Linked DNA regions of Caenorhabditis elegans. The protein of the gene in region 2 interacts with the protein of the main gene of each other region in a pairwise test. Each region holds a gene or a part of one and is shown on either strand. Other genes may lie near its edges. The genes, in order: F26E4.2 and vpr-1.

Region 1 (7,634 bases), 3.9 Mb from region 2:
AAATTCTCACATAATGGAAGGTACTTGCTTACGAGGGACTATCTTACTGTCAAGGTAATTATTAATAATTAAAAAGAAAATTTGAACAACTTTTATATTTCAGGTGTGGGATTTGAACATGGAATCACAACCGGTAGAGACATATCCAGTGCACAATTATTTACGAACAAAACTCTGTGCACTCTACGAAAATGATTCAATTTTCGATAAATTCGAGTGCGATTGGAGTGGAGATGACAAGTAATTAATTGCAGTACTTTTTCATATTATAATTTTCTTTTTGCAGACATATTCTCACGGGTTCGTATCATAATCTGTTCCGTTCATATGCTCGTGGCAATAACCAAGATGCGAAAACTTGGGAAGCTCGGCCTCAAGAACCACATTCACAGCTCCGATCTCGATTTGTTGTACCATCAGCGAAACGGAAGAGAAACAATCTGTCATCAAGCGGTGAAACGGTAAGATTTCAATTAAATTTAAAAAAACGTCTTCATGTTTAAATGGGTCTCTGCGCGCAAAAAAAGTTTATGGTAGTTTTTATTTTTATTTTATGCGACTGCTTCTCGTTTATTTTTTATTTTTCAATATAATTACTTCGTATTTAGCGACATTTTTTCGCTAAAAATACACTTTAAACGACGTAATTTTATTGAAAATGTAAAATAAACGAGGAATCAGCCGCATAAAATAAAAGCACAACCGTAAATTTTCTTGATCGCCAAGACTCATCTGAATACATCCGTGCACCTTTAAGAATGCATGTTAAACTCTCGTGAAAATATGATAAACATATCTTACTTCAAAATCAACAAAAACCCAATTTACAGACCGAAGAGGATCTTTCATCTGATCAACTTCAATTTGATCGTAAAATATTGCACACAGCATGGCATCCAAAGGATAACATCATTGCTCTTGCTGCCACTAACAATCTCTACATCTTCTCAGATGTTTAAATTATTGTTTTCGTAAACTTGTTGGATTTCGTCCTCCCCCAATCATCATTTTCCCTTTTTCTCAATTTATCCTCAAATATCACATTCATATAACTCTAAATTTTTTTTTCATATTTTCCCCATATTTTTGTGAGTCAATTCTTTCTCAAATCCCGTCCCTTCTTTCCCGTTTTCGTAGTCCTCATGTCGACTTATAGACATTTAATCGCGTATTCAATGTTACTCGCTTTCTTTCTTTCAAATCCTTCGTCATCGTAAATTTTTGAAGTAAAACAGGAATAAGCTCTTAGTTGGTTTCTATTTTTCAACTGTTAAAGTTGTCTTTTGCTTCCAATTTGAGATAGAGTTGTACTTTATTATTCTTATAGCTTCTTTTTCTTTACTCTCTCCCTCTCTCTATCCTCTCATATCATTCTTGAATTACGTGGCCCGTTTTCTATACTTTTCCCTCACTCTTCAACTCCAGTGTTCTCTTTCTTGTCTCTTCCACCACCACTTTTAAAAAGATAACTGTAGATCCTTAACCCCGAATCATTCGGGTCGTGTCTCTCCCACTTTTAGGATGATTTCTCCTGTTAGATTCACAATGTGTTTCACGACTTAATCCTCTTGTTTGAAAGCGTGTGAAGGTATTATTCTCACCTTGTTAGCTCCATTCTGTAATTTTGAAAACTATAAAAATCGCCCAAAAAATTTTTGAAATTTTTCCGACTTTAGTTATTTTCTCTCCACTTTCTCTGTTCGTTTGTCTGTCACAAAATTACAAACTTTCAAATCAAGAATCTTGACATAAATTTTTGTATTACTTCCCTCATATTTCTTCATCATTAAATCCCCGTGGGTGTGTCTCATCATTAAGTCTTCCTTTTCCCATAAAATTGTAAGCAATATTTATTTTCCAATCATAAAAACTCATTTATTGAATGGAAATAGTCGACAAATGTACAAAAACAATAATAATAGTATCACATTTGTGGCGATGAGGATTTCAGTTCCATGGCGACGATATGTTTGACGTACTAGTACTTGTGCATCATATGTGACTTTGGAGACTGAAATAAATTAGAAAAATATATTATTGGTGTCTCGACACGACAAATTTATAAATGCGAAAATGTGCGCGCCTTTAAAGATTACTGTAATTTCAAACTATTGCTGCTGCTGAATTTTCACCGAATTGCATAGTTAGAAAAATGGAATATAACAATAAAAGCATAATTTTGAACAAATAATTAGAAAAAATTTAAAAAAAAACTCGATGAAAATTCCGAAGCAATCATAGTTTGAAATTACAGTACTCTTTAAAGGCGCACAACATTTCGCATTTAACTAAAATTTGTCGTGTCGAGGCCGCGTACCGTATTTTTGACGCGGATGTATAAGAGAATAATTAATTGAAAAAAATCGATTATATTACGTTGGATTTTGTTTTGAAAAAAGTACAAAAGTTATAACTTTAAAAAATAGATAAATCGAATCGATGAATTATTTATACTTTGATTCCTTTTGACTTGATAAATATCATTTCCATAGACAAAAAAAGGAGAAAACTATATTTAATCCTTAATCCAAATTCTGACATTTTTATTTTTAAATCGAAACTCTCTTTCGGACAATTGATATTATTAGTTAACATTTACATCTACAAAAACAAGATAATCCTCTAAGGTGTTGTCAAGACAGAAAACATACGGCTGATTTGTTTAGTACACATGGCGAATTTTCTTGAGGGTAAGGGAAAATACACAAAAAATAATATGTGCATTTCCTGTGCAGTTTCAATTTTTTAAAGTTTTTTATATTTCAATTGTTCGAAAATATTTTTAAGGGTGGAGTTCGGAAATTGGGTAGTTTTAATGTACTCGGAATCGATATGCTAAAATATCGCAAAAGAAAACTGATAAAAACAGTGAAAGATGTACATTGCCAACTTCAAAAAATTCGCTAATTCCCTGTTTGAATTTCTTCCAAAATATGAATTCATGTACACTTTTGGATCAATCAACGACTTCTGACTCCACAAACTCTACCTGACATATTGGAATATTCCGAGAATTTTAAGACTAAATCCCTATTTTCCAAACTCCATCTTGAAACAAAAATAAATAGATTCTCGACAATTTACTAAAGAATATTGCAAAAAAAAATTCAGATAATTTTCAGAAACCCCATTGGTATAATAGTATGATAACTAAAAATCCTTCTAGAGCAGTTGTCGTCTACTGAATATTAATTAATCGATTGAAATTATTCAAAAACTTGAATTGAACTCACGATATCTCTTTGTCTTCTGAAGACGTGTACCAGTTGCTTCTTCACGCCATTCATTTGCAACTCCTCTTGTAATTGCAGTTGTCCAAAGAGCATTTGATTCATGTTGTTTTTCGACAACACCATCCAACATCTGATAAATTATATTTCAGACTAATAGCAAAAATATCAAAAACTCACTCGCCGCCCATCACCACTGTATGTCACTTGTGGTTTGCGCTTCTTCTGGAAATGATTTTGCATATACTTTTGTTTTTTTTTCTAGTTTTCATTCAACAAATTTTCCACTTTTTTGAGCAAGAGTAGGCGGACTGAGCCTCGGTGGGTTTGAATTTTCTCCTTGCTAAAATTCAAATTCCCAGAATGGAAGTAGTCGCTAAATTGTACAGTAAATTTCCAAAAGCATAGGATTAAACACAAACAACAAAAACGATAATTTCGAATGATTGTTTGATACAAATTTGTAAGATTAATGACGCCAGAAGAGGAACACAAAATACTAATTTGAACACTAATTTGATACCAGAAACTACAAAAATCGGCGACGTAAACTCATTGTCTAAATTATTTCAGATTTGCAAGCTTATCATTGAATTTAAAAAAGAATTGCCACAGTTCTTGGAATCTTGTAATATCTTACAATTTGCAAATATCAGAGCACAAGACAGACTCTTGAAAAAGACTTTTTTGGAAGAACGTTTGAAAACATGAATTAGGGTATTAAAATAGACGTAAAATGAGTTGATCTTTGAGATGTGAGACGTAACTTTAGAAGATTAATGCCTGATAAACAAAGCGATCGATTTATTAAAGAGGAAGTATGCGATTCCATTTCTTTCATATCAAAAAATATTATTTGAAAACTTCCAAATAAAAAAGTGAAAATGCAATGATTTTTTATAGACTGGATATATCGGATATATCGGATATATTGGAAATGAATACAATTATGATTTACCATATTATAGCCTTGCAAGAAATTTTTGAACTTTGACAGCTCAGATGTCGGTTGTCTTTTTTTAAATGTCAACTGACAAAATGTTTTTCATCACTTCTTCTATAGTTTTGTAATTAATAATATTTTAATATCTAAAAATGAAACGAGATATAATTTGTCTTGTAAGTTAAGTCGATAGTTGTATGTAAATGGAAGAATAATTAGTAATTCTCAAGAAGTTTTTGGCAAAATATTTGAAAATATAAAAACATTCGCATTTAAGTAAATAGTGGAACTTAAAATTTATTTTGATGAATTTCCTTTTTTGAACTACATAATTTTTTTGGTCTATGTACATGAGACACATGTTCAGAAATTTACAGACAAAACAGGAACAAGTGGTTAAATCTAATGAAATTGACCAAAGCAAAGGATGTTCAGCGTACTTATTTTATTCTCAACGAATTCTATAACTTGACAAAATTATTTCAGAATATCTTACCACATCGAAAATTTGTTCATCACCATCTTCCTGTTGTTTTCCTTGTGCAAATTCATCAAGTTGTGATGGATCAATTGGAGAATTGAAGATATTGATCATCTGTATTAAAACATAAATTAACAATTAGATTCTCGAAAATTTTAGAAAATAATAACAATAAAGCAGGAATTGAAGAGGAAAATGAACAAAATGGAGGCGGTACTTGAAAAAAGAGAAAAAGGGTCGGAAGAATCGATCTTTCTTCATTTCCCTAGGCGTCTCTTCATTCCTCAAGTTATCACTAAACACCGCCAAAACGGTGTCATATCAAATTAACATTTTTTGGGGATAATTTGTCATCGACGGAAAACTGGGGGGGGGGGTATTGGGTGGAGATGTAAGAGAGATGGGGTTTCGAGTAGAATGAGTCAGAATTGAAAAAAATAGTTAATTGATGGAAAGACCATTTGATCTACATGTTGGCGGTGACCATGTGATAGATCAACTCGCAATTGAATTGGTTTTTTTGTTTTGATGTAGTGCAATTTCGTAATTTTTGAGACGCTTAATTAAAGGCGCACAGATTAATTAAGATGGGTCTCATCGCGAAAGTTTATGAGAAAACTTATCTGTCCTTTTATTCTAAACTCTGTGAAAAATTTCTGACTTATTTCAATGCAACACCAATTAAACAAATATACTTTTTTGTTTATTTTTCAGAGGATATAGATAAGCTGGCGCAGTTTAAATGGTTCGTTAAAAGTTAAATTACAGGCTTCCGGTAAATCTGGCTACTTATATATCTGCTATCCTGAAATCTAACACTAATATAGTAATATTCAACTTTGCATAACACCTCTAGTTGTGTAACTTTGAAAGCCAAAGAAAGTTTTAAAATATAAATAAAAGCATCTACAATGTAGACAAGATGATATTCTTTTTGTTTATGTAATGTTAACTGAACAATTTGAGTGATTAAGGTCACATACTATTGGAAACATGGGCAAACACACGTATATACGCAACTACAATCGAAATTTGTTTAGCCAAAACATGCAACTGATTCTGATTGAAAAACAAACATATGGCAGAACTTTGCATGACTATGGGCTTAAGGAACTAATATATTATCAGTTATTATCAGTTGCGTAAAACTATTTTTGATGAAAAAATAAAGTACCAGGTTCTCCATTTTTTCGCAAAGGTCTTCCTATTCTCTGATTTTTCACAACTAGAAAAAAAACAGGACTTGGCAAACAAAGAGCAGTACAATACTGTTTAAAGACTCATGCTCTTTTTTTGCAAAACAACTTTTCGATCGCATGCTGGCACCGTATTTTTCACATCTGTAAATGCACACAAATGTCTATCTGCCTTCTAGGCGTCCTAAAAGTTTTTTTTCTTTATTGAGAAAACTTTCAAAAGTCTACATTTTTTCCATGAAAAAGTTCCCTGAAACCACAAAAACACTCAAGTTTTTACCTCGAGTATCCCAACATACTTACCATAACTATATTTTTAATTAATTTTATCAGAAAAACGTTTTATAATTCTAAAAAAAGTGAATAGAATACCACTCGAATGATTCACCGACTTTTTTCATTACTTTTTTTCGCTTTCTCTCGGGCACGAAGGGTGTGGTTTCTAGTGAGAATAGGTGTCAATGATTTTGGGTTTTCCATCCCCATACAGTTGTGATAAAATTATAATTGTTATTGAAAAATTATAGTATTTTGTGTCAAAAGCGATATTTATTAGGCGAATAGTCAAGGTAACTCTGCGTGGAAATTATTGGCGTAGAAAAAAAAAAGAGATTTGAAAACCCTGCGATGGCAGTGAGATTATTATAGAAAGATGGACGGGGAAGAAGGTGAAACATAAACAAATCTAAAGTAATCTCCAGTTTTTATTTGAACATCTTCCTGAATCGTCGAAGTTTTCTCATCTTGAATCGCCTTCGTCGTTTTGATCCTTTGCCCCAGGCTCCTGTAATTTGATATTTGTTCGAAGATAAATTCCTTTACAAAATGTAACAATTCATTTGAGCAAATATTCATACGTTACCAGGATTGAAGAAAATTTCCAAAATTTTGCAAAAAGTTATAAGTTTCTAATAGTCGTCAGAAAATTACCAAAATTGTACCGGAGGTTACCAAAGCTTGAGAGAAAATTTTTCAGAAGATTTCCAAAATTTGATAGAAAGTTGCCAAAGTTCGTAGAGCCTCGTGAACTTCAATAGTTTCTAAACTCACCAATAACAAAGCTTTCAATTTCACAATGATTCTCTCCTCTTAAAACTTTGAAATATCCATCTTCTCCCCACTGAGTTCCCCATGAATTGGCACACAACCAGTATTTGATTGGTTTTCCTGTTGAGTGATCAACTCCCCATCTGCAATTTGTTTTGGTCTTTTACTCTAATTGAAAGTTAGTTCTCACCCCAAAACTCGAACCGAATGATATCCCTCTGCAACGGAAGATGCTCCTTTTTGAGCAGCAAGATCAGAATGTTGATAAACTCCTCCAGCATACATAAAGAAATCCTCGTGAACTACAAAAGTTGCTTGTACTGGGCCATTTGTCATAAGTTCAGTTTGAATATCTTCCTCACGACTTGACACTTTGTACGGCGGAGTCATTTTAAAAGCGGTACTATCTTGAGATCCACTTGGACACCGAAGTCCTTGTCGATTTCTGAAAATATGACGGATTTTAGATTTCTCAACATGCAGATAAAATTAAAAAGTAATTTATATATGTTTCAAAGATATTATTTTTAAATTTGATGTTTTCTTTCGTAAAACAATTGACACGGGAAAACGTTCAAATGCTTCATAATTGATTGTTTTTTTTTCAAGTTATAGAATACAATTTAAGATTTTCAATGTTTCAAAAAGTCTTACGTATAATCTCTCTTTGGAATCAGGCAATGCCCAGGTTCTCGGCTTTGTCCAGACACATATGGATAACAATGATCTCCGACGAC
Region 2 (6,310 bases):
AATTTATTACAAATCGAGAAGAAACTAAAAAAAAATCTTACCAACGAGACTTGTGGAACATCTAATCCTCTCGCCCAAACATCAGTTGAAATGAGCACTCTCGTTGTTCCTGCTCTGAACTCTTTCATAACTTCATCACGATCCTTCTGTTCCATATCTCCGTGCATTGATGACACTGTGAAGTTGGCTTCCTTCATTTTATCCGTCAACCAATCAACCTTTCTACGGGTATTACAGAATAGTACAGCCTGTGTGATGGTAAGAGTATCATAAAGATCAATAAGAGTGTCGAACTTCCATTCTTCTCTGTCAACTGCAACGAAGAATTGCTTGATTCCTTCAAGTGTCAGTTCATCACGTTTCACAAGAATTCTGATAGGATCTGTCATGAATTTACTGGTCATCTCTAGAATTTCATGAGGCAGTGTGGCTGACAGAAGTACGACTTGTGCTCCAGGTGGAAGATATCGGTAGATATCGTACAACTGCTCCTTGAAACCTTTATTCAGCATTTCATCGGCTTCGTCAAGAACCAGAAGCTTGATCGCTCGGGTACGAAGATTACGACGGCGAATCATATCAAATACTCGTCCTGGAGTACCAGAAACCACGTGTTGACCGTAATCCAATTTGCGAATGTCTTCTCCGAGATTTGTTCCTCCGATACAGGCATGACATTGAACATTCATATAGTCTCCGAGAGCAAGAACTACCTGCAAAATGTGTTTTTTATTGCAACTCTGTATTTATTATATCCATACTTTTTGAATCTGGACAGCCAATTCTCTGGTTGGAGAAAGAATAAGTGCTTGTGTCTCTCGAACTTGTGTATCCAATGATTGAAGAACGGAAATTGAAAAAGTCGCAGTCTTTCCGGTTCCAGATTGAGCTTGAGCAATGACGTCACGTGCTTTAAGAATTGCTGGAACTGCTCTTTGTTGAATAGCCGATGGTTTTTCGAATCCATAGGCATAAATTCCACGAAGAAGGTCTTCTCGCAAACCCATTTTGTCAAATGTTGGAATAACATTTACTTCTTCAGAAGATTCGAATTCCACTGTTGCCATATCATCTTTTTCTGCTTTTTTACCAGCCATTTTGGAAAATCTGAAAAAAGATTAATTTTAAACATCACTCGAGTGACATTTTATTGTCGAGTCGCGTAAATTTCCAGGTAAATACTCCGAGATAATACGGCGAAAAAATTCAAAAATAAAAATAGTTATTGGAAACCATAAACATCAAATTTTATTGTACCATATACAAATCATGTGACTTAAATTGGTTGTTTCAAAGAGCATGGGGCTTTCTTAAAATCCATGGAGTCCTATATCAATCAATGGTTGTACACATAAAATAAATGAGAAAAGGTTGGGGGAACGGGGAACCATAGAATGGAAAATAAATAAATAAAATTCTTGATAATGGCTACCGGGTATGATGATAGGCAGTCACTAGACGGATCTATGATGGTCTAGAAGACGCCGGGAAAAACGGAAAACGAATAAACAAAGGAAAGAAGTGAAAGTAGTTTGAGAAAAAGTTTGAAATTTTTGCGCGCTGCGTTCACTAAAGAGGCAAGTATTCAAAATTTCAAAAAACCGAAAAGTTAAATATGTCAATTTACATTGCAGAAAATAACATTTTGATTTTTGAAATATTCAGAATTTCGCCCTTGGCAGAGAAAAAGTTAGAAAATTTAGGATTTGAAGGTTAAATTTGATGAAAATCCGAATGGAGCAATGCTTGTGTGTTTTAATGTTTGTGGCAGCAAAAAAGCACGTGAATGATAGTACCACTAGTTACTTAAAAGTGAAAATGAAGGAAGAATTGATTCAGAATTTAGAAAAGACGGCCAACAATAAGCCCGATGAGCAAAGCGGCAACCGCAATAAGGAAAATTTGCAATGTTGGGTATGCACCGTCGACAAGAGCTCCATCAGAATGCGATTGTTGAAGCTTGCGGTTCTTCTGAAAATATTTTTTGTAGAAAATTGAACACATATTTTTTTTTCCAAAGTGTAATTAATTTTTTCAAATTTCTTTTCTGATATTACCTTGAGCATGACTTCGATTTCTTGTTCCAATCCATGTACTTTCTTTTGCAATTCTTCTTTCTCGTCAACTGTCGATTTCAACGATTTGCGAAGGGAGTTAACGGTTCCATCATGCGATGGTGTTCCAGAGTACGAACTTCCGAGCTCTCTGCAAATATTAGTTTTTTATTGAATGAAGTTTATGAAGGAAACAATAATTGTTAACCTTCTTTTAACCTCCATTATAAGTAAAAACTCACTGTGCCTGTCCAGAAGAAGCAAAACTATCCTCGTTCCTAACCGCAAAGGTTTTTGTATCATCTCCAGACGCTGGATCTCTCTTGTCAACGAAGGTGACCATAAGCTTGCTGTAGGTCAGCTCCGCTGGATCGATTATTTTCCAGACCGATTCCAAATCTGGCAGATCTTCCGAAGGCGCCACACACGATTGAACCATAAACTTATGTCGTCCTGCATCAGATGGAATTCCTTCCAGAGGTTGAAGCATTACTGTGATTTGTTTCGAGTCACCAGATTTCAGGAGGCCTAAAAAATCAAAATCAGAAGGTCAAAGTAAACTTCAGTTTTAAAAATCAACCAGTCTAACAGATAAGGTCTAAATACAAATCATATTTTTCTTTTTGCGTTTAATTTCACTTTTTCCATATCAAATTGATTTCAATGCAAATAAATCCATCACTCACCAGAATTTGGACGAACACAATATTGCTTTGGAGCCGTTGTTTTCACTTTGAAGCACACTGGATTGGTTGATGTGTTCTTGAGAGTCATGTGTGATGTGACAACATCACTGAATGGGCCAGTGAACACGAGTTCACGATTTGGAGTCACTTGCAGAAGACTGTGCTTTTCAGACATTTTTTTGCTGAAAAAAAAAGTTAGTTCATATAAAATAATTATGTTAAAAAATAAAGATTGATAGGAAGTTTGGATCAAGGCGAAAGAATTAAAAATTGTTTTTTTTCTATTGGTATTTACGTACATCACAAAACCGAACACTAAACGAATATTTTTTCGATTTGCAATTTCGAAAAAGCTATAAAATGAAAAAGTCGCAGTGTATGTTCTAGCGTTATCAGTTTCTCTTGAGTTTTGGCCAGTGCTTAGTGCCTAGAGGCAAGCGTATTTGCTCTTGGCAAAACGAAAAACGAAAAAAAAATCGAAATCGTGTAGAAGTTATACAAATGCTTGTCTATCTTTCTAAATACAGTCTTCAATAATCTTGAATTTGAAATTTGAAAAAAATATGGACGAGTGTATTCAACACAGGTCATAAACAAAATTTAAACAGAAAGGCATCAAAAACGTTGTTCAGCCAGTAATTGAACGTTTGTCAATTGATAATCGGGGAGAGAAAAGTAGAGATGCAACTGATGGATGACCCGATACATGAAAAACACAACAAAAAAATAATATTATTTCCTATATTTTAACAACGAATAAGTCCAAAACTGCACAGTATTGAACAAAGGTTGAACCAATTCGAGAAAATAACAAATTATATTGAAAAATTATTCTGAAACGCTGTCAGATGACATGAATTCGGGTGAGACGTGGAGAGCGCACACGTTTTTCAAAAAATGTTGTCCTGAGAGATGCGTAAGAGATAATAGACGCAGAAGGAAAAGTGTATCTACGTCTCTTCCCTCTCGTTGACTTATAATTCGAGTGTGTGAGTGTACGTGTGAGCGATGTGTGTGTGTGCGTTTGGTAGGGGAGGACGAGTGTGAGCGAAAATGGCTGTCCTGGAGAAGGAGAAACACGTTGTTGGAGACGAAAGAGGCACCGAAAAAACACAAGCATCGTGAAGAAAAAACGATGGGATAAGAGAAGAAGATGGAATAAATTAGGATGAGATGTTTGCTGGTAGAATGTGCAAAATGCACTCAGAGAAGATTAAGCTAAGGCAGTTCTATGCAATAAAATCTTAATTTTTGTATTCCCCAGGAGCCTATAAATTAACCTCCAAGTCAAAACAACAGACAATTGAACCTTTTTTTGAAAAACGAGAAGAGCTGCAGTTTAGAAATGTTCGATATTTAAAATTTCACTCTGATTGAAATCATTATTTGAGCTCATTTATGAAAAAGATTGAGACGGAAATTGAAAAAGTTGAGTTAATAGCCTTATGCGTCAGCGGAAGATTTGATCCATATGAAGAATATTAACAAGTCGCAGTATGTATATCTGATGAAGCTAGAAACAGAAGACTTTTAGAATGAAAAAGACGTCCTCTTCTGCGTAAACAAAGTGCAAAGGACGGCGAATTTGAATGGAAGAGAGAGAGTGCAGACGCAATTAGAGCACCTCGGCTTGGTACTGCTTTAGACTTAGTTTCTCTGTTTTCCTGCCGTCCGGATGTGAGAACTCTCCATGACAACACAGATATTTCCCGTATCACACACTCATCGGAAACATAAGAGGGGGAGAAGGACAACTGGCTCCAACTATCAATCAATCGGGGTTATTTACACAATGATTTTTGTTCTTTTAATGTGCTAATAGAAGAAATATACACAAACACATGGAAGTAATATTGGGGAATTTGCACTTTTCTAGAAAATTAAAACTTGAAGTTTCAGGCTGAGCAAAAATAGCTCAAATAACTCGAAAAAAACTCAGTGAATAACTATTTTTATAACCAGGTTATAGACTAGGCGAAAAGGTACAGAGAGAAGAAAAGTCCGAATTTGTGAAAAATCCCTATTATTCACCAAAAAACAATCTATTTCACTTTTTAGGAGCTTCGACATGTATTGTACACGAATAGCAACATATTTTTGCAAAATACGTCTCAATAAATATTTTTCAGCTAGATATTACAGCATTTTCAAACGGAAAACCAAAAAAATCAAAAGAAAAAGCTAAATTTAAAAATATGTTGCATGTGGCAATGCGCGTAAGCTTCGCCGTAACGTACGCAAACACCGCGCCTGTTTTTGGCGCAAAATTTGAAACACATTTTTTGCATTTCTCAATTTCAACGTTTATTTTTTCTCTGAATCACTTCTCGCTATTTAGTGTCTTTTTTTAAAGAAGGAAATCAACATTATTCCGTTTTGAACAGTAAAACCTTTATTTCAGACTGAAATTTCATGTCCATAAAATCGTCACGGCTGAAAATTTGGGAAGAGAACTGCCCGGTGCTTAGCGATGCAAAATTCCAGAGAAAGTATCAATTGCAAGAGAATATTATAGGCGAGGGTACGTTTCCAGCTGAAAATTTTCAGCTGTGTGCAATATGAAATTATTATAAGCTACGAAATAGATTGAAGTTAAAGCAAAAACGCTAGAAAACAAACTTCTAATCAGAATTTTCAAGCAGGTGAAAGAAGATTGCGTATTTTTGAAATAATGAAATATTGATCCTTTAATCATTGCTTATTTTTAGGTTCTTTCGGAACAGTAATCAGTGCAACATGCAGAACAACTCAAGAGAAACGAGCAATAAAAGCAATTCGAAGAATTGAAAAAATGAGCATGTTATCAATTGAATTGGAATTACTATCAGAACTCGGAGGACACTTCAACATTGTCAAACTTTTCGAATTCTTCCATTTCAATGGTTCAGTTGCAATTGTTCTCGAACATTTTCCACATTGTACAGCCACAGAACTCTTATTTCATTCAAAACGAGATCTTTCATTTGCTCTCTCTTATTTTCGAAATTTGCTTTATGCTGTCGCATATCTTCATCACAATGGATATGTGCATCGAGATATCAAATTGTCAAATTTTCTCTACTCACCCCAAACTCAAAGGTTTCAGATTAATAGTTAAAGCTCCTCAGCAATTATTTTTTCCAGATTCCGGCTCGTAGATTTTGGACTCGCAACAGTTGATAGATCAAAAAATGAATGCTCAAGAGTGAGTTTCACCTTTTAACTTCAAAATTAAATTTTCCAAATCATTGAATTAATTTCAGAGTCATGCTGTCGCTGCAATGGAAAGAGATCCAGAATGTTGTTCTTGTAAAGGTACATCGTCACCGTGTATGTTTTGTAGAGGAAAACCAAAGCGAGAGAATTATAATGTTGTAAGTAATGAAATCTTGTTTTTTTCGATCACATAAATATTCAGGTTGGAACTCCAGGTGTTCGTGCTCCAGAACTTTTGTTTGGGATTGGTTTGTGTCATCCATCAATAGATATATTTTCCTGTGGAATTGTTCTCCTTTCACTTGTTTCTGTAAAACATCCATTCTTTATGCCAAAAGATGAAACTGAAAATATTATGCATCTCGCTTTCTTACT

What was found.
Region 1: the proteins of vpr-1 (region 2) and F26E4.2 interact in a two-hybrid assay, tested with the Caenorhabditis elegans proteins (2 studies listed by BioGRID).

What each region holds. Positions count from the first base shown.
Region 1 is NC_003279.8:9,756,018-9,763,651, forward strand, and holds F26E4.2 (Tnp_DDE_dom domain-containing protein), read right to left. Parts: upstream 4,771-7,634; 5' UTR 4,769-4,770; coding exon 4,670-4,768; intron 3,456-4,669; coding exon 3,411-3,455; intron 3,364-3,410; coding exon 3,234-3,363; intron 2,012-3,233; coding exon 1,872-2,011; 3' UTR 1,837-1,871; downstream 1-1,836. Other genes in the region: Serine/threonine-protein phosphatase 2A regulatory subunit sur-6, read left to right, coding at 1-54, 104-240, 287-461, 831-959; putative peptidase C1-like protein F26E4.3, read right to left, coding at 6,555-6,634, 6,901-7,040, 7,088-7,342, 7,552-7,634.
Region 2 is NC_003279.8:5,867,033-5,873,342, forward strand, and holds vpr-1 (Major sperm protein), read right to left. Parts: upstream 2,923-6,310; 5' UTR 2,916-2,922; coding exon 2,741-2,915; intron 2,583-2,740; coding exon 2,297-2,582; intron 2,206-2,296; coding exon 2,058-2,205; intron 1,972-2,057; coding exon 1,843-1,971; 3' UTR 1,234-1,842; downstream 1-1,233. Other genes in the region: F33D11.10 (RNA helicase), read right to left, coding at 42-713, 762-1,097; cdc-7 (non-specific serine/threonine protein kinase), read left to right, coding at 5,153-5,261, 5,449-5,818, 5,864-5,924, 5,983-6,093, 6,138-6,310.